Mus musculus: one gene and its partner. The protein of the gene in region 2 interacts with the protein of the main gene of each other region in a pairwise test. Links are inferred from orthologs where the notes say so. Each region holds a gene or a part of one and is shown on either strand. Other genes may lie near its edges.

Region 1 (3,519 bases), about 13 Mb from region 2:
TCCTGCTGCTTTCTGTTCCCTGGTCCTCGGAGATGTACCTGGGCTTCAGGCTTCTACCACAGTGGGCCCCACTGCCTGAGGCGCCATGTTATCCTCCCATGGTGGGCTGTACTCCCTCAGCTATGGCAGAGTAGAGCTCCCCGAGAGTGTCCTGTCAGGTACTCTGCCACAGTGAGGAGAACGCAGCATGCACTTATGAGGGCAGACAGTGAGTGCACTGACCACTGCTTCCATGCTCATCAGCTTTCTCTTGCTTGACAGAACACTCGGGAGAAATAAACTTACAGGAAGCAGGATGGTTTCAGGGTTGCAGCACTCACCTCATTGCTTCTGGGCTTGCAATGAAGCAGGCCGTGGAGTAGAGCTGTTCACATGCAGGCAAGGAGACAGAAGGAGGAGAAGGGAGTAGGTCTGGTAGCTAGAGACCTGCTCTTGCAGTCACACCCTTCCCTGTGAAGCCCCCTGCTTCCTTCCCAGCAGTCTGATGCTCTGAAGCCATCGCTCGATGAACCCATGAGTGGATTCATTGACCCTCCTGTACGTAGTCACTGCCAACAGCTCAGCTTTGCACTCGGCTGCTAGAGCCAAGCCACATGTCCTCAGGGACACTTGGTGTCATGGTGCCCCATACATAGGTTGTGTGTGTATCTATTCCTGCGACCACTGCAGCGGAGTGTGTCCCCACAGGTCACTTTCCGAAACCCCATCATCGAGCGGATCCCTAGGCTCCAAAGGCAGAAAAAAATCTTCTCCAAGCAGCAAGGTAAGGAGGGTCTGAGCGATCTGGGTTGTACAGCCAAGGACCCCAGGATGTCATGGGTGGTGACCCTACCCTTGCAACTTCAGGGAAGGCATTTCAGCGAGCCAGACAGATGAACATAGATGTGGCGACTTGGGTGCGGCTGCTCCGTAGACTCATCCCTAGTGCTGTGGCCACTGGCACCTTCAGTCCCAATGCATCTCCAGGTGCTGAGATCCGGCACACTGGGTAAGGAAGGAGCGTGTGGCCTGTTTCTCTGTTGCTTCTGTTTCCCAGCGTCCTAGGTTCCCAACTCACCCTCCTCCCTCTCCTGCAGAGACATATCCATGGAGAAATTGAATCTCGGTGCTGACTCAGACAGCTCGTCCCAAAAGAGCCCACCAGGGCTGCCCTCCACCTCATGCAGCCTGGTGAGTGTGCACCACTCCCCTCTGGGCAGGGGAGCCTGGGGGACCTGCTGTTTTTGTTTTGTTTTGTTTTGTTTTGTTTCCAGAAACCTCCAGATGCTAACCCAGGATCATCCAGGAGAACAAGGCTGGTTGTTTGGTTGTTTTTGTTGAGTATAGTTTCAGGCTTTGAACTCTTGAACCCCTCAGGCCCCTGTGTGCTGAGATTGCCATGCCCAATTTATAGGGTAATGGTGATGAAATCCAGGGCTTTCTGCATGCTAGGCAAGTGCTCTGACAACTACATCTCCAGCACTTCCCCTGTTTTCTATACCCATTTAAAATATCAACGTGGAAGCTGGGCAAGGTGACACCAGCCTATCTTCCCAGCAGTGGCATGGCAGAGGCAGGGTTGTCACCACAAGTTTGAGTCCAGCCTAGACTACATAGTAAGTTCTAGGCCAGTTTAGGCTACATATCAAGACCCTGTCTCAGAAACCAGAGCTGGGGGTGTGTGCTTGGAGACTAAAGTTTGCTGAGTAGTATAACTCTTGGGCAGTGTGCTTGCAGCTCTGGGTTCCATCCCAGGCTGATCAAAAGAAAAGAACAAAAGGAACAAAGTGTGAGCTGGTGGAAGAGGGCAGAAAGGTGCCTGTGTGCCGGCTGCACTGGGAGGCAGAGGCGGGGGGTGGGGGTGGGGCGTCTGGAGCGAAGTCACCTCAGCTGTGGAGTTGGATTTTGAGATTGTACTATAGCTTTTCTCTCTCCAAATCGTCCTGTAAACCCCTTCTTCCTCTCTGTCAAATTCATGGCCTCTTTGTTCATTAATTGCTATTGCATGCATCTATGTGTGTATAAATATATATTCTGATATACATCCTGCTCAATGTATATAATGTCACTTTTCTGTATGTTTTCTTTTCTTTTTTTTGTTTTTCTAGACAAGGTTTTTCTGTATAGCCCTGGCTGTCCTAGAACTTACTTTGTAGACCAGGCTGGCCTCAAACTCAGAAATCTGCCTGCCTCTGCCTCCAGAGTGCTGGGATTAAATGTGTGTGCCACCACCACCCGGCGGCTCTGTATGTTTTCAAGTCTGGCCATTTAATTCTAGATAATCAATTAGTGTGGTTTTCCTTTGGGAAGACCCTCTGTCACTGAAAACTTACTTTAATTGGCTGTAGTACTTTCAGAAGGGTTGGGCCTCGTGGGCTTTGCCCCATCCACTGTGGTATATCTGTAGTTATTGTCTTTGTCCAGCTCATTCGGACGGTCATGCTGTTGAGATGGACACAGCCTTATAGCGAACTCCCCAATCCTCTGGCCCTACCAGTCTTTCTCTCTCAGTGTTCTCTGAGCCTTAGGTATGGAAGTGTTTTGTAGATGTATCCACTGGAACTGGGCTCTACACTTCTGCATTTTGACTGAGTGTGGCTTTCTGTGGTAGTCTCCATCTGTTGCAGAGAGAAGTCTCCTTGGTGAGGGATGAGGAACACTTTCATCTGTGGGTACCAGGCAGAGATTTTCAACCTTCCCAATGCTGACCCTTTAATACAGTTTCACATGATGTGAAAAATAAGATTATTTTCATTGCTACTTCACAACTGTAATTTTGCTATTGTTATGAATCATAATGTAAATATCTGTGATAGTCTTATGTGACCCCTGTTAAAAGGTCTCTTGACCAGCACCCAGGAAGGTCTGACCTACAGACTGAGAACCACTGAGAACCATAAATATTTAGAGTGTAGTTAGGGGTTGTGCTGGTTTAGTAAAGCGGTGGCTGTCGGTCCTCCTCCAAGGTCTGTGACCTCACTAACCCTGCGTAGTCGGCTACGTTTCCAGCACCTGGCATTACTTAAGGAGTGAGTCTTTTCTTTTTTTTTTTGGCTTTTTCGAGACAGGGTTTCTCTGTATAGCCCTGGCTATCCTGGAACTCACTCTATGGACCAGGCTGGCCTCAAACTCAGAAATCTGCCTGCCTCTGCCTCCCAAGTGCTGGGATTAAAGGCGTGCGCCACCACCGCCCGGCTAGGAGTGAGTGTTAAGTCCAGTTAGGGAGCTGTTGATCCAAAACACAAAGGAAAAAAGCCACAATTTATATCAAGGGCAAACTGTGTTGCTCTATGATAGGGGTTACCCAAAGAAGTGGAGGTGTAGCTGTCATGAACTTCCTCTAGTTCTGTGGTCATAGATGTTTTTTGTAAAGAAACAAGGAATTGACTTCGTTCTGTGAGTCCGATGAGAACTGCGTGGTTGAGTGATGGCAGCCACGGAGGCCATGCCATAGACAGAACTTGTGTGGGTTACTAGGTACCATACTTCTTTCCTTTTCTTCCCTCCAACCATTTCTAGCTCTGGCAGGCTGCCTAACCA
Region 2 (4,023 bases):
ATATCTGACATAAGAAATGCAAAGCTGAGAACCACAGACTCTGATTCGGACACAGCCATTTGTCCCCAGAACACGGAAACCCTTGCAGAAATTTCTAGAAAAGTGCAGCAAGGGATTTGCCACAGGGCTAGGGACCCACTGGCAGATAGGTGATCCCCTGAAGGATCCTCGGCGGGCTGCTGTGGCTGTGGACAGAGGCAGGACTCAGCCTACAGAGCTGCAGGGAGTTTGTCCATTTCATTGGAAGACAACACTAAGAGGACACTTGGATCCTAAGACTCTGTAACAATAACCTAGTTACTCCCAGAATTTATTTTTGAAAGTCAGGGTCTCACTATGTGGCCCTAGATGGCTTAGAACTCACTATATAGACCAATCTAGCCTAGAATTCACAGAGATTTGCCTGCTTGTTCTTTTCGTGGGAATTAGGATGGAGCCCAGGGCACCACAGACGCTTGACGAGGGCGTTACACACTGATTTGCAGTCCCACCCCCACCTTCGTTTTGGGGAGCTGGGCTCAAGCTGTCTTCATGCTTCAGTTGCTGAGGGTCCAGGAACTTTTTCTTTTCGAAGAAGCCACATGAAGACTCAGGGCCACCCTTGGTAGGAGGCAGGAAAGCGAAGGGTCGTTGTCCACCCATTTTCCGTGTTTCTCCCTATCTCTGGGTCACCAGATCACACTCCAGGACTTCTGCCTCTGTCTTCACACCCTGGCCCGCTACCACCCATCTAACACCCACACTTTTGTCTTCTCAGCCTTCAGCCCATCAGTCCAATGCTCTGCCCCAAGGCCGATCCAGACAGACCCTCCTCTTCCACCCCTCTCCCCACCCCGCTGTCTTTGTCCGCAGTCACCTTCTGTCTCTCTCCGCTGCCCTCCTGGATCCCTCCCCTCTGTCCAGTACTCTGCCTGATCCTAGGCCCCTGCCCTTAATCCCTCTGATCCCAGCCCCAGACTTTATGGGCCCCTCCCCCTCCTTCAAAAGCCACGCCCTCCCCACTTCCTTCAGTTGCCTCCCACTGGGTCCCCCCTTCAGAAGTTCCTCCTCTTGACCTCCTGGTGCCCTCCCCTTCCTCTGCCCTTTCACCCCGCCCAACTCCCCCCTCCATGTCCGCCCTCCTCTTCTTCCCTCTCGGGGTCCCCTCCCTCTTCCCCGCCCTCCGTAGCTGGCCAGCAGGGGGCGCTGGGCAGAGGCGGGGCGGCGCGGGGACTGGCCGCGATGGGACCGGAGGCGGCGCAGACAAAGGCGCGGGCGGCGCGGGGCGCGCGGAGGGCGCGGGCCGGAGGCTGCAGCGACGACGACGCGGGGTGAGCCAGACAGGGGGACCCCAGCTTCCGAGGCACAATCAGGGAGTCGGGGGCGCAGGAAACGCAGACGGTTTCCAAAGTTGCGGACTGTGAGGCGGGGCCCAGGAGCTGCGGGGTGCAGGCTGAGGGGTTGGGATCCTGGGGTGCCGGCTAGGGGGCCGGCTCAGGTGCTGGCTGGGGCGCGGGGCGCGTCTTCACCGGGTTCCTCAGCCGAGGTCCGGGTGTTGGGGACGCCGCATCGCGAGGCTCCGCCACTTAGAAGTTGCGGGTCAGCGGCTCCCGTAGTTGCCCTCACGAGCTGCCCTGGAGGGAGTGGGAACCGGTGCCAAATGGGAAGCCGGCGTGGGGCTCCTGGCAGGGTCCCCGCCGCGCGCGATCGCGGTTCTCCGCCCCGCGCCTCTGCTCCAAGGCGCGTGACTACTCAGTGAGTAACTTTTCCTGATGGTGGCAAGTCCAGGCAGGAGTGGTCCGACCGGAAGGGCCTGGGTTCGGGGACCCCTTTCCCCCAATCTCCGCCAGTTCCATTAGCGTCTCTGACTGGACAACCCCCCTACCCTCCCTCTGTATGGGAACTTAGGTTTCGCAGCTTCCCAAGACAGCTTGGAGGGGCCCTGACCTCAGACCCCGGGTCTTGACCTCCCGCACCCGCAGGACCCTCCTTCTCCTCCAATCTCCTTAGTTGAAATTTGGGGGACTTAGGAGAATGACAGGTGCAAGCGTTCATAGGAGGCTGGGGAGCTCCGTTCTCCCGGTCCTGTTCCCTGTTCACATGGTGGGGACTAGGATGAACCGCTGTGTGCAATGCGTGCTTGTGTGTGTGTGTGTGCCTGTGCGTTGAGACATGGTCCCACTCTGTAGCCCAGGTTGGCTTCAAAGTCTCCTCATTCTCCCCAGTGCTGGTGCCACCATACCAGGCTTTCATTTTTTCCTTTTAAGTAAGCTCCCTGGAGACTCAGACACAGAGTTATCTGGGCTAAGTGGTCCTTTCTCTCTCTCTCCTCTCTCTCTCTCTCTCTCTCTCTCTCTCTCTCTCTCTCTCTCTCTCTCTCTCTCTCTCTCTCTCTCTCTCTCTCTCTCTCTCTCTCCTCTCTCTCTCTCTCCCTCCCTCCCTCCCTCCCTCCCTCCCTTCCTTCCTAGAGTTATTTATTTTATTTATACAAGTACACTGTAGCTGTCTTCAGACACATCAGAACAGGGCATCCAATCCCATTACAGATGGCTATGAGCCACTATGTGGTTGCTGGGAATTGAACTCAGGACCTCTGGAAGAGCAGTCAGTGCTCTTACCCACTGAACCATCTCTTCAGCCCCGAAGTGGTCCATTTGTGGGATCAGCGAGGTCCTGATTTTCCTGTTAGGTCCCTGGAAGCACTCCACTTTTACTCCTTGAGATGGGTTTATCCCTCCATGATGACCAGGGAGGCCTTGAACTCCTGGGATGCATGATCTAACCGCCTTGGCTTTCAGATAGATAAAACCACAGGGCCTCACCACGGATCCAGCTTTGTCCCACATTTTGATGCAAGGCCCTCTGGGAGGAGAGGGGGGCTGTTGGATGGGAGGGGATGAATGAGATGTTCCACTCGGTTGATCTTGACCTCATGTTCAGTTCCTGTGGGAGGACACTTGCCCAGTGGTGGGTAACCTGGACAGTGAGTATAATCCTGCGTGCCAACAACCAGGCTATTCTCCAAGCCATATCCTACCTACCCTTGCAGTTTGGTGGCACTGTATCACCTCTCTGGTGACACTAGAGATCTAGAGATCACTCAGTCCAGTTGTGGGGGCTTCTCCCAAAAGCAGGGCCTTTTGTTTATGCCTACAGCTCAGTTGATAGAGAGCTTGCATGGGATGCAGGATGCTCTGGGCTCCATCCTCAGCACCACATGAACCAAGAATGATGGCACAAGCTGCCGTCCCAGCATTTAGGAGGTGGAGGCCAGAGGATCAAGAGTTCAAGGTTGCTGTTGGCTGCAAAGTGATTTCAAGGCCAGTCTGGGCTGGGACTGAGGAAGTGGGTGTCTGACCAGCAGCTGCTCCTTTCCTGCCTCGCTGGTTTTGTGAAGTCACCTGGAGGACCCACTTGGCCTGAGTATCCTTGGAGCCTTACTCACAATCTTCTTCTTTCCCTAGGGGACAAACAAGTGACTCCTGTCACCCCTCTGGGTGCCCCTTAGAGGCCATCCAGCCCAACCTGACCAATGTCCACAGCCAGGTGAGCACTCACCCACTCTGGTCTGGCCTTGCCCCTGGGTGGCATCAGACTCCTGCAGAGTTTCTGTCCCTGCTGTAGGGAACAGCCAATCTTCAGCACCCGGGCGCACGTATTCCAGATCGACCCCACTACAAAGCGGAACTGGATCCCCGCCGGCAAGCACGCACTTACCGTGTCCTATTTCTATGATGCAACCCGAAATGTGTACCGCATCATCAGCATCGGGGGTGCCAAGGTCTGAGCAGGGGTTTGGGGGCAGGTGTGCAGCCACCAGCCAGGCTGGGTGACTTGGGAATCAACGATCCTTTCCCAGACCTAACGTCTTCCAGAAATAACTCAGTGGTGGGGTCTCCGAGAAGGGACAAGAGTTCTACTGCAGCCCTTCACTGGGGGATTCTAGGCAGGGGCTCCACCTGTATGCCTTCCGATAGCTCCTCACTGGGGGATCCTAGGTAGGGATTAGCTACTAAGACAGATGCCTAGAGTTCCTTTTTTAAT

What was found.
Region 1: the proteins of Homer3 (region 2) and Pkn1 interact in binary tests that used the Homo sapiens proteins (3 or more experiments, as listed by UniProt). The two-hybrid records come from large-scale screens. The link is inferred for Mus musculus from reciprocal best matches to the Homo sapiens genes HOMER3 and PKN1.

What each region holds. Positions count from the first base shown.
Region 1 is NC_000074.6:83,675,175-83,678,693, reverse strand, and holds part of Pkn1 (serine/threonine-protein kinase N1), read left to right. Parts: intron 1-687; coding exon 688-763; intron 764-846; coding exon 847-988; intron 989-1,076; coding exon 1,077-1,170; intron 1,171-3,519. UniProt on the Homo sapiens protein: PKC-related serine/threonine-protein kinase involved in various processes such as regulation of the intermediate filaments of the actin cytoskeleton, cell migration, tumor cell invasion and transcription regulation.
Region 2 is NC_000074.6:70,281,791-70,285,813, forward strand, and holds the start of Homer3 (homer protein homolog 3), read left to right. Parts: upstream 1-1,208; 5' UTR 1,209-1,221; coding exon of another isoform or gene 1,222-1,310; exon of another isoform or gene 1,311-1,734; intron 1,735-3,443; coding exon of another isoform or gene 3,444-3,511; coding exon 3,512-3,525; intron 3,526-3,603; coding exon 3,604-3,760; intron 3,761-4,023. UniProt on the Homo sapiens protein: Postsynaptic density scaffolding protein. Binds and cross-links cytoplasmic regions of GRM1, GRM5, ITPR1, DNM3, RYR1, RYR2, SHANK1 and SHANK3.